Schizosaccharomyces pombe: one gene and its partners. The gene in region 1 interacts genetically with each later gene. Each region holds a gene or a part of one and is shown in the gene's direction. Other genes may lie near its edges.

Region 1 (4,951 bases):
GGTTGATGGCACTAGAAAAATGAAGGTTGAGATAATCCTTGATCCTAGTCGTCAATTGAATTCTTTGGCTGCACGTGTAAGTCCTGCCAGCAACGCTAGCGCCACTGCTAGCAAGAATGGCGCCAAATCTTCCAAGCGGAAGACTACACGCCGCCGTAGAACTCCTAATCGTCCTAAAAAATCCGCCGAAGAGCTCGACAAGGAGATGGATGATTATTTTGGATCAAATGAGAAGGAGTAACTTTAATAATTTGAAGATTCTACTATATATACATATATTTTGAAGATGTCAAATGCTTCTTGGTATTAATAACGACCTATACAACATACTCCCTCAGTTAAATAATATTGGCAATATAATGCTGTTTCGAATGGCAGTTCTTGAAGTTGTTTTTGTGTTTTGGGTCTTTCGTAATGGATTTGGAGAAGTGAGCTGAACCAGTTCTTGTTAGTATATATGGTGTGTATTGGGTCATATTGCCATTATGCCATTATTTCAAAGAATTTCATTAAATTTTTTATTTATATCTCTTTTTTGATAGACATATATGTTTCATTGACATCGAACGAATTTGGTTACTTATTTCTTTTTCGGTGGTTAACGTTGGGTTGGAGGTTTTGACTTTTGCTAACTTTTGACATATCTGTTGATTTGTAGTATGCAAGCTTAAACGCTACCAAGAAGCTAAGCTTTGAGTCGAGTTCATTATTAGCATATCTGTTCACCTGTTATGTTTGCAACTTTATCAGCTCTTGTGCAGAAATCCTTTATGGTTGATAAGCGCTCCCTTCTTGTTTAATACAAAAGCAAAACCTATGTAGACAGTGGTTAAAAGAGGTGGATAATGGTAGCTTCGGCTACTGTTACTTTATTTAATCTAAGTTACTGTACAAGGCAGCTGTTTTGATCATCATGTTGCTAAACTATACTGGGTTGAGCTTACCGACAGGGTTTATTATTGCATGTTTGCTGAAAGTCAAAGCTTCCATACCCCAACTTGACTGTGTTTATTATGTTCATGATGGTTTTTGGTTCACGTCACACTTATTCCAAGTCTTGTTTTACTATATGTGGCACGGCTTGTTTGGATGAGGAATTTCTATTCGTAAAATCATCGCGTTCGATGGCTCTATTTCATCTTTGTCAAATTGTACATGACAGAACTGGCTTCATTCCTTCCTTTGTATGTAAACCACATTTATAGAACTTTTCCACGATTGCATTTTAAACTCGCTGATTGATGAATTACGCGCAATGCATTCTTTTGAAACTTTTAAACCCTAGTCACTTCCATTCCCGTTTTTTTTGCTTCCGACGTTTATTATTATTTGTAAATTATTGTTATGGTTGAATTGCCGACCGTATCTCGAAATTTGTTTTGGTAAACATTGCTTGGTTTTATGTTCGAACCATTGTCACATCAAACAATTTAAATTGAAGTCCCACACATATATTTTTGGCACTTATAATTTTGATTTTTTTGAAAGATCTGTACGATCCGTCGTGATTGTGTTACAAACCAAAAATCGCTTTCAGAATGCGCATTTGCGGGTTGCTAATTTTAGTGCGCGATTCTTGCCGTCCTCTGAAACCGATTGAAACATTGAAATTGTTAAAACAGTACTTTACGTTCGTACCTTAAACCAGTAGTATCTGAACGGTGGTTAACGACATTTGTATTGCAGATAAAGAGAAAGATTATTATTCACTTGCTACACATGGTTTATACGAAAGTTTTAGATTTTAATATCTGATTACAATTTCTCGTCGATATTTAGACTCCTTGTGGAACTCGTATATGTACGTAAGTGTTATTTAATAGATATCTGAATCTGTGCCGGGTGAGAATTGCAATACCTATATAAACAAGCAGCCTTTACGAATTTTTTGGCAGCTTCATTTTGGTAATGAGATTTAGTGAAACTAATATCGGTTATAAAGTGTATAGTTATATTGTTACGTCAAAGAGCACGAGACTAAGGGAGGCAGGTTAAACGTAAATGCTACCAACTTTGAACTTAGAAGTTATACGTTGTACAACCACTTTCCTGCATTTATGGAATATTATACCTCGAAGGAGGTAGCAGAATGGTTGAAAAGTATCGGATTGGAGAAGTATATCGAACAATTTTCACAAAATAACATTGAAGGACGACACCTAAATCATTTAACCTTGCCTTTACTGAAAGACCTAGGCATTGAAAACACCGCCAAAGGCAAACAATTTTTAAAACAAAGAGACTATTTACGAGAGTTTCCACGTCCATGTATACTGAGGTTTATTGCCTGTAACGGGCAAACTCGAGCAGTTCAATCACGAGGAGATTACCAGAAAACACTCGCTATTGCTTTGAAAAAGTTTAGCCTTGAAGATGCTTCAAAATTCATTGTATGCGTTTCACAGAGTAGTCGAATTAAGCTGATTACTGAAGAAGAATTTAAACAAATTTGTTTTAATTCATCTTCACCGGAACGCGACAGGTTAATTATTGTGCCAAAAGAAAAGCCTTGTCCATCGTTTGAAGACCTCCGCCGTTCTTGGGAGATTGAATTGGCTCAACCGGCAGCATTATCATCACAGTCCTCCCTTTCTCCTAAACTTTCCTCTGTTCTTCCCACGAGCACTCAGAAACGAAGTGTCCGCTCAAATAATGCGAAACCATTTGAATCCTACCAGCGACCTCCTAGCGAGCTTATTAATTCTAGAATTTCCGATTTTTTCCCCGATCATCAACCAAAGCTACTGGAAAAAACAATATCAAACTCTCTTCGTAGAAACCTTAGCATACGTACGTCTCAAGGGCACAATCTTGGTAATTTTGGTCAAGAAATTTTGCCAAGAAGCTCTCGGCGGGCTCGCCCTTCCGAATTGGTTTGTCCTCTTTCCTCTCTGAGGATTTCTGTTGCTGAAGATGTTAACCGACTTCCTAGGATTGATAGGGGATTTGATCCTCCACTTACTGTATCTTCTACTCAGCGTATTTCTAGACCACCATCGCTTCAAAAATCCATAACCATGGTTGGTGTGGAACCTTTATACCAGTCCAACGGAAATGAAAAATCGTCGAAGTATAATGTTTTTTCAGAAAGCGCGCATGGCAACCATCAAGTACTTTCCTTTTCACCTGGTTCATCCCCATCATTTATTGAGCAACCATCCCCAATTTCTCCAACTTCCACTACAAGTGAGGACACAAATACACTTGAAGAGGACACTGATGATCAGTCTATCAAATGGATACGTGGTGCGTTAATAGGTTCAGGATCGTTTGGACAAGTTTATCTCGGTATGAATGCATCTAGTGGTGAGTTGATGGCTGTTAAGCAAGTGATCTTAGATTCTGTTTCTGAATCAAAAGACCGCCATGCCAAACTTTTAGATGCATTAGCGGGTGAAATTGCTCTTCTACAGGAGTTGTCTCATGAGCATATTGTCCAATATCTCGGTTCTAACTTAAATTCGGACCACTTGAACATTTTTTTGGAATATGTTCCTGGGGGGTCGGTTGCCGGATTGCTTACAATGTATGGAAGCTTTGAGGAAACGCTAGTCAAGAACTTTATTAAGCAAACCCTTAAAGGCTTAGAATACCTTCATTCACGCGGCATTGTACACCGTGATATAAAAGGTGCGAACATCTTGGTTGATAATAAAGGGAAGATTAAAATTTCGGACTTTGGGATATCGAAGAAACTTGAACTAAATAGTACCTCTACGAAGACGGGTGGTGCTCGCCCTTCTTTTCAAGGCTCTTCTTTTTGGATGGCTCCCGAAGTGGTGAAGCAAACTATGCATACGGAGAAAACAGATATTTGGTCTTTGGGATGTTTGGTAATCGAGATGCTCACTAGTAAGCACCCTTATCCGAATTGTGATCAAATGCAGGCCATTTTCAGAATTGGGGAGAACATTCTGCCGGAATTCCCTTCTAACATTTCTTCATCGGCCATAGATTTCCTTGAGAAAACGTTTGCCATAGATTGTAATCTTAGACCTACAGCATCAGAGTTGTTGAGCCACCCGTTCGTTTCATAAGCCGGCTAAGTTATGATGAAAACAGAAACATTATTTTACGATCTATCTTTTTTATGTTTTTTTGCATCATTATCATTGCATTTATGCCATTTAGAACTAATGAATTTATTTAACCTATAAACCGTATGATTTAAGTTGCTATATTTTTCTACAATATTCATGTTTTTAATGATTTTGTGAATGTCCTTGATAAATACCATTATGAGTTTAGTTACTAAAAAAATACTATTTTACATGTTCAGTTTGTTTAAAAAATATCCATTGATTATTCCTTTTCAAGAAAAAACTTTTTATTTTTATTTACTTTGTGAAAACGATAACATAAATATATAATAACACATATCTACGGGAATTCTATCACTTAAACAAGTAAAACTCAAAAACGTATGTATGCATTAGTCGTAGAGAAGGGGATTTTTTGTTCACTCCTTGAGGAGAAAAGATTAGGTATAGTAGATATAAAATAAATTGTCTACTATCCAACATAGCCTTCCTTATTTCCATCTGTAAATGGAATAAGACTGCTGACGAAAAAACGAGCCAAACGGGTATCTTTGGAATTGGTTGTTATATTTACGTTAAATCCAGGTAAAGAGTGCGGATACATCTCATAAACAGCTTCAATTTGGGGAAATAAAGGCATGACTTCACTTGGTAAACCAAAAGATATGTTTCCTGTTTGATCTCCGCTTGTAGGACTCAGGCCCTTGAAATCATGAAGCTGAGGAAGAACCAACTCAGATAAGATTGAAAGAAATGTATACATAGATTCTCCAGTTAGAGTAACCTTTACACCTACTGGCACACCTGAACGAAGTTTCCAGGGAGAAACGTCCTTACGTGCATAGACTATTTCGGGCTGCAAACCCGTTATAGAACGAAATGCCATCATTGTACTCAAGAGCTGCGTTTTG
Region 2 (3,890 bases), 2.3 Mb from region 1:
ACAAACCTTGTTAACAGTAGTACAAACGATGGAACGAGGGAGTCCAGCACCTAAGGCGCATTGACGAGCAGGGTTTTGGCCAAGATTGGCTGAGACGACATTACCCATAAACACCTCATCAACATCAGAAGGCTTAATATTGACCCTTTCAAGAGCGCCCTTGATGGCAATAGAGCCTAATTTGGTGGCAGGAAGAGAAGCGAAACTGCCGCCAAAGCTGCCCATGGGTGTGCGAACAGCAGACACAATGTAAACCTCTCTATAAAGAAAATGTTAGGAAATTTATAAATGAATCAAGTTTCACTTTAATATCACATACGTGTTAACCATTTCTTAATATGTCAAAGAATATACAAGCCAAAAATGTATATGATGAATGGTGGTTTTGCGCACGTTGTGCCATATATACTAGTACTATAATGCGCGATACCAGGGTAAGGTGAGTGTATTGTATTCTTTCAAAAGGTAACGTTCGACATCTCTAAGCAAAACTTTGCGCTGTATAATTTGTCAGCAATACTACACTACGCTATAATACACTACATTGCGTATCACTATATGTCACATGTTCTAATTATATATCGTATTATGTATGATACGATATTGAGATTGATCTTAATAATAATCTATCAAGATCTATATTATCTGAATACTATAATTAGAGCTACTGCTGAACCTCGTTCCTCAGTTCAGTTATAGGCTATATCAGTGATAGGTAACATTATAATCTAGTTAATACAATACCTATACTCAGTTGCTACTTATATTACCTGTGTATTGCGATATAATAGACGACAAGGAAAACTCACCGCAGTTTTACATATCGTTAAAACGAATACGAAACTGCGTAGCTCACATAATTTGTGTAAAGCGTAATTGCTGGACACAACTGTAAGCACAATTAAGGTAAAATAGCGGTTTATGAGGTAGTAATATGCAATTCTATCGAACAAATCAATTGATGAATGGACTAATGCTATTTGCTAATGATGTTGTTTCCTACTTAATTTACAAGTGTGAAGATTTCTAAAGGTTTTTGAGAATTAAAACATATTTGCAGTTTAAGGAATTGAGACAATTGTTACGGTGGTAGAATAAAAATCTTCTAACATGGAAAATTAATACGCTGAAAAATTCACAGATCAAAATTTGTTGAGCCTAAAAAATTATTATTATTGAAAAAAAGCATAAAAGGATTAATCAAGCAATTAAAAGGCCACGGTTGAAATACGAAGCCAACTGAGAAGAGATTTATTCGAAATGGTAAACAAAAAAAATAAAAAGAAAGCTATTCTTTGCTTTCTATATAAGTTTGAGTTAATGAATTTTAGTATTAAAATAAAATTTAATGATTAAATATGACAACTTGATAAATTGATAGATCCAACTAAATATTATTACCTTTTTCTTTGTTTACTTTTATTTTTCCAGCTCATTTCCAGCTCATAATTAATTTCTACATAAGGACATCGCTAGTTAGAAGTTTAATAAGGAGTCTTACAATGTCTATACGACGGTGAATTAGTTCCTGTGTAGTCTCTGTTCTGGTGAAACTGTAAGTGTAGCGAAAGGCAACTGCTCTGGGCTCAAGGTCCCAAAAGTATAGTTGTACTAATGTCAAAGAACTTCCCACAGTTTGAGCTACAGAATTTCACGTAGCAGAAAAATGTATAATAAAAATCCTAATGAAAAAATTTCAAAGAAAATAAAGAAAGGAAAATTAAATAATCTCTCCATCTTTTTTTGAACAAAGCTAGCGTTAACTTGTTGTCTAAATAATTTTTTGCATTTTTTGTTTACATGTTTATTCAAACAGCTGTTTGCTCTTCTTTCCTTCTCACTACAAACGCATACCCTTCATTTTACAAACCCTCCATACTCGTCTTGCCGTACAATATCTCTTTCTGTTTTAATAACGCGCCGGAGTGGGATCGAGATCTTGACTACCGAAGGTCCGGCATTCAACATGCTTTTGTCATCCCAAAAGTGGGGAATGCTACTTAAAGTTATTTAAACACCCCACAACCTTTGTATTCACAAACCAAAGGGATCACCTCAGCTGTGAACGACAGGTACGCTTCTTCAATACAGCAATATTAGTCAGCAAGTTATATTGTATCTGTGTCATCTTTCGGGCTATAAATACAAATACGATAGATCATTGTGGGTATTTGTGAAAACAGTTACTTTGATTTTTAAATAAATTGATCAATTGTTTATCATAGACAGGTAAATTGGACGTTAACAGTGTTTTGATTAAAAATCTCATACAAAAAAGAAAGATGCCGTCTAAAGAAATTGACATTAATCAAAAGAAAAACGTCTTACCTAAACCGGAGGATATTCAACTCATTATCTGTGATGTTGATGGTACTTTGCTGGGACCGGATCATAAGCCACATCCGCGAAACCTTCGTGCTTTAAAGTATCTTCGTGAAAATTATCCTCAGCTACCTTTTGTGTTAGCTACTGGTAGACAGCGAACATCCGTAGGTAATATCAGAGAAGCGTTAGGTTTACATGTCTTTCCTTGTGTTCACCTTAACGGCTGCGTAGTTTACGATAAAGGTGAAATCGTTGCTTGCGCAGCTCTTAAAAACTCTTTAGCCATCGATATTATTGATAAGCTCAAAGACATCCAAACGTGTGCACTTTTCGGTTACGATGAAGATTACGTTTACCAAATTAAACAGGAATCGGATAAAAAACAACATGGTATTAAGTTTTTGCGACTCTGTGGGGAAACAGTAAAGGACGACGCCAATGAAATGCTCCCTCAGCTTAAGGGCCCGAAAGACATCTTCAATAAAATGGTAGTTTTTGATGATGATACTAACGGCCTTGAAGAAGCCAAAAAGCGACTGGCTGGCATTCCTTCGGATGAAGTTGCTCTTACCCAAGCGCTTCCCCAGACTTTTGAAATAATTCCTCCCAATGATAACAAAGGGGTTGCGCTCAAGAATATTCTTTCAAAGATTTATCCATCCATTAGCTTGGAAAACGTCCTAGCTTTTGGTGACGGAGCAAATGATGTTTGCATGTTTGAATTGGCAGGCTATTCCGTAGCCATTCGTAGTGGAATGCCTGTCGCCTTAAAGGCAGCCAAGGCAATTTCCGACGTTTCAAGTGCTGAAGGTGCCGTTGGTGAAGTGTTGGAACGAATTTATAATATCCCTCCTGATTTTAATTAAATTTAACAACCTATATAGTATCTTTTTCCTGTTTAAATTATAACAAAAAAAATTCAATATCTAATTCCCATACAATAATAAATATCAAAATAACGAAAATTACAATACATATTATATATAAGCATTCGTAAACTTCTTTATTTACGTAGCCGCGGGTATAACTATTTTTCTGTGAATGCCGTGTATTTTTACTTTAGCATGTTAAAAACTGCTTTCTCTTAAACAGTGCCTTGTAGACCTTACGAGGAATATGAAAAATCAATACAAAAAGATGCTTTTAATTTAATCATGAGATCATTTTATAACATTATCAACATATGGAAATTCCAAACATCGTGGCATTAGTAAGTTTCCATAGAAAGAAAAAGAGAAATCTAAGAAGACTTTTTCTTCTCCTCTTCTTGACGCTTAGCATCTTCGCTTTTACCCTCCTCATCCAATTTGGCAAACACCTCAGAAGATAATTGGATTCCAGCGGCCTTGACGTTTTCTTCGAGATGATCTACTTTGCTAGTACCAGGAATAGGTAGCATAACCGGACTGCGTTGTAAAACCCAACTCAAAGCTATTTGACTAGTGGAACGATCAAGGTCTTTTGAAACAGCGTCCAGGATGGTTCCGGGTTTGGCTAATGCTCCTGAAGCTAAGGGATACCAAGGAATAAACGCAATTCCCTTCTGTTCACAATATTCTAACACT
Region 3 (3,397 bases), on another chromosome or scaffold:
CAGCTCTCGTATTCACGAGACGTCTTTCAGAAACTGAAAAAGAATCTACATAATATTGTATAATTTTGTCGACATGTACACTATACAATAAATATACCATGGATGTGGATGAGGTGACATTAGCGCTAAAACTGGTAGACCCTGACTTTGGTACTGAAGAAGTTGTGTCGCTGTTCATCTCGATTTCCTTTGGATTATTATTAGTGCCACTTGCTTCGTTAGATGCTAATCGTACAGCATCAATAGGATTTGCTTGTGAAGGAACATACATTGATTGAAGCAATGTGGCTGATTCGTTAACGGAGGCACTCATGTGAACTTTGTCATCTTCGGGATCGAGAAACGCAATTTTTCCGTTTCGAAATACAATCACTAGTTGACCAGTTGACGAGATGAAATGAAGAGCAAATATTTGTTGGTTGGAAATATCACGATATACAACTTCGCTTTCCTCCTCGAGGTCGTTGAACTTCCAAAGAAGTATTTTCCATTCCCCATTACTTTTAAGAGAGGTGCAGGTCCAAATATAATGCCAATTTCCTTCTTTAATGTAGATGGGTGAGCAGGAAAACCGTGTCTTCTCAGGTAGAGGACATGAAGCGAATAAGCGTTCATCCTTCATATGATAAACTTCAATTCCCTGATTTTCCACTTGAACACATATATAATAAGGAGATTCAACTCCGTTATCCAAAGCAACCGTGCCAGCACTCTGAATTTCATGCTTTTTATTCGATTTATGAATATTCGAAATTTCGCTGAGAAACGATAGTTCACCAAAAGAAGCCATTTTTACTTTAAGTTTAAACACAATTTTCTGAAACTGTGAAAATTGGCAAAATAAGCGTTTCTGAGGTTCAAAAGTTTCACACAGCACTCGGTGGAGATGAAGAGAAGAAGTTACAAAAAAAAATAATTCCTACACAGCTTTGACCTCCACAAATACTAACGAAAATAGGAATTATTGATCAGTAAAATTAAATTAAAGTATTAGAAGCAATGGTTGTTCGACGCTTGTTTTCCACTGGAAAATTTGCGTTCTTACATTCGAGTGCGGTATATCTCGTTATGATACATAAAAACTTTTTGCTCTCAAGTGCTATAACAAAACAACTTTTATTATTTAGTTTTGTCAAATAAGAAAAACAGAATTTTTTTTGTAAACTACTCTTTGTACAACAATGCTACAAAAAATTCTCTTCTCGATTGGGTTTTTTTGCTTTGAGCTTTATTCATACTTGGACAACGTACCGATGTTTGATATCAATTGTGCCTTTATTCTGTGAACTTGAAACTCTAAATTTATTGTTTACCAATTTTTCTAATATAATAGGGATAATAAAACTTTTCTTTAATAAGTGAAAAAAACTGGGCAAGTCAAATTAGCATCGGCATACATGCTCTTGTTTACGTCCCATAATTTACAGATTTTATAGCTAATCCAAATTCAAAGTCCCAAATCACATCCAAAATCACTTTTCCAATAAGATTTAAGGGTCTTATTTTTTATCATTTTTTATGCTGATTTTTGATATTGTATTTAAATTTGCATATCCACTAACTTTTGGTAAATGAGTATGCTTTCTTTGTTATAAAAGTAGTGGGCAGGTCAGCATCAGAAGCATATATATTAACTACGCCCTTTACATTGCTATCCTAAGCAAAATTAATGGGAGATTCTGACGATTTTTATTGGAATTGGAACAATGAAGCAGTTTGCAATTGGATAGAACAGCTTGGTTTTCCCCATAAAGAAGCGTTTGAAGGTATGTATGCATAACAGAAGTTTAATTCAAAGAATTATTTGCTCGCCTCTCATTAATCCTTATTGAATGCTCTTTCTTTTATAGTCAATGGGGGATTGGGAACAATGAGTTTCTCCAAAGTTGGTTCAATTTCATGGCAATTTACTAAGAATTTCTAGACTACCATATTCTTGGAAAAGACATAGACCTGTTAAGTTCAAATGATCTTCGAGACATGGGAATTGAGAGTGTGGGCCATCGTATTGACATTTTATCAGCAATACAGTCAATGAAAAAGCAGCAGAAGGATAAACTGCAGCAAGAAAATAAGGATCAAGAACTGAAAAATATAGAAGAGTCTTACAAGAAGCTAGAGGAAAAAACCGAACATTTATCAGATGACAATGTCTCTTTAGAAAAACGTGTGGAATACTTGGAAACGGAAAACACTAAATTGGTAAAAACACTAAACTCTTTGAACTCGGAATTTCTTCAGTTACTAAGAAAAATTGCCATAAATGTTAAGGAAGGAAGACAGCTTACTACCGAAAATTCATCTGACACTAGTTCGATGACTCACCCTGTTCAGCCTTCACCATCTGTTCTTGGAAGTTTTGATTTAGAGGTTAATGATTCTTTGACAAACGCGGAGAAAAACAGAAAATTAAATGTGAACTTAACCTACAATGAAGTGTTATGCTCCATGTTGCAACGATACCGAATCGATCCAAACACTTGGATGAGCTATGATTTGCTTATAAACTACGATGATAAGGAGCATGCCATACCTATGGATGTAAAGCCACTTCAACTATTTCGAAACCTACAAAAGAGGGGAAAGTCGCCTTCTTTTGTTTTATCTCGACGCTCTTGTTAACTAAGCTTTTTAAAAGCCATCTATTTATGAATTGAATTTAATGAATAGTTTTCAATTTTTTTAATGACTCATTTGCAGATATTTAAGTTATTTTACTTACGCCTTGGTATGTTTATCAGTATTTAAAGATGGATTGATTTTTTTAGCCGTACCTCCTAATATTCTATCTAATATTCTATCTAATATGCTTAAAATATATATTTTTTTTTTTATTCATGGGGTATGCCCTAAGGTTTATTAATATGATATAAATGAATCTATGGAATGTATTAAGACAATGAAAATGAACCATGTAATATAATAACAGAAAAAATTAAACATTAAATTTTAACATGCTTCAACAGGAAATGAAATGACAAAGAAGGTTAACAGCCTAAAAAAAAAATTGAAGCGTGATTAGAAATTTTTAGAAAAAAATTGTGGTTTTTTAATGAATTTGAAACCAATGATATATGCAATATGTGAAGTTCGTAAATAAGGCGCAAAATTATGCCCCGAAACGTAGTTTACTCCGTCAATAAAATATTCATCATGTTGTACTACGCTTATTTTTGTAAGCTATGTATTAACAATTTCAGACAATGCAACATGCGTTGGGTTGCTTGGAGTACACGGTGGTATACCGAAATTTGGAAGGAGACAAGTAACTCATGTTAGACAAGCTTTGTAGAAAAACACGCATTTTTGGCTGAAACCAAATTAGTTCCTTTTCGCTTGATTCGGAAGATGAATAAAAATTTGGCTGGGGTTTTGATCCCGTATGCCTATTAACAAA

Evidence for each region.
Region 2: mutations in byr2 (region 1) and odr1 together harm fitness less than expected from each alone (positive genetic interaction), as found in Schizosaccharomyces pombe (one large-scale study listed by BioGRID).
Region 3: of byr2 (region 1) and ste4, changing one suppresses a phenotype caused by changing the other (phenotypic suppression), as found in Schizosaccharomyces pombe (2 studies listed by BioGRID).

What each region holds. Positions count from the first base shown.
Region 1 is NC_003423.3:1,739,403-1,744,353, reverse strand, and holds byr2 (MAP kinase kinase kinase Byr2), read left to right. Parts: upstream 1-2,009; 5' UTR 2,010-2,057; coding exon 2,058-4,037; 3' UTR 4,038-4,306; downstream 4,307-4,951. Other genes in the region: RNA-binding protein Mlo3, read left to right, coding at 1-241; mrpl7 (mitochondrial 54S ribosomal protein uL5m), read right to left, coding at 4,513-4,951. UniProt on the Schizosaccharomyces pombe protein: Serine/threonine protein kinase involved in conjugation and sporulation. It is thought that it phosphorylates the byr1 protein kinase which itself phosphorylate the spk1 kinase.
Region 2 is NC_003423.3:4,046,897-4,050,786, forward strand, and holds odr1 (haloacid dehalogenase-like hydrolase ), read left to right. Parts: upstream 1-2,038; 5' UTR 2,039-2,282; coding exon 2,283-3,191; 3' UTR 3,192-3,302; downstream 3,303-3,890. Other genes in the region: acetyl-CoA C-acetyltransferase Erg10, read right to left, coding at 1-259, 320-330; SPOM_SPBC215.11C (aldo/keto reductase family protein), read right to left, coding at 3,566-3,890.
Region 3 is NC_003424.3:1,294,783-1,298,179, reverse strand, and holds ste4 (MAPK cascade adaptor protein Ste4), read left to right. Parts: upstream 1-1,636; 5' UTR 1,637-1,669; coding exon 1,670-1,766; intron 1,767-1,924; coding exon 1,925-2,622; 3' UTR 2,623-2,864; downstream 2,865-3,397. Other genes in the region: protein Utp8, read right to left, coding at 1-790; SPOM_SPAC1565.03 (uncharacterized protein), read right to left, coding at 3,197-3,397. UniProt on the Schizosaccharomyces pombe protein: Essential for mating and meiosis.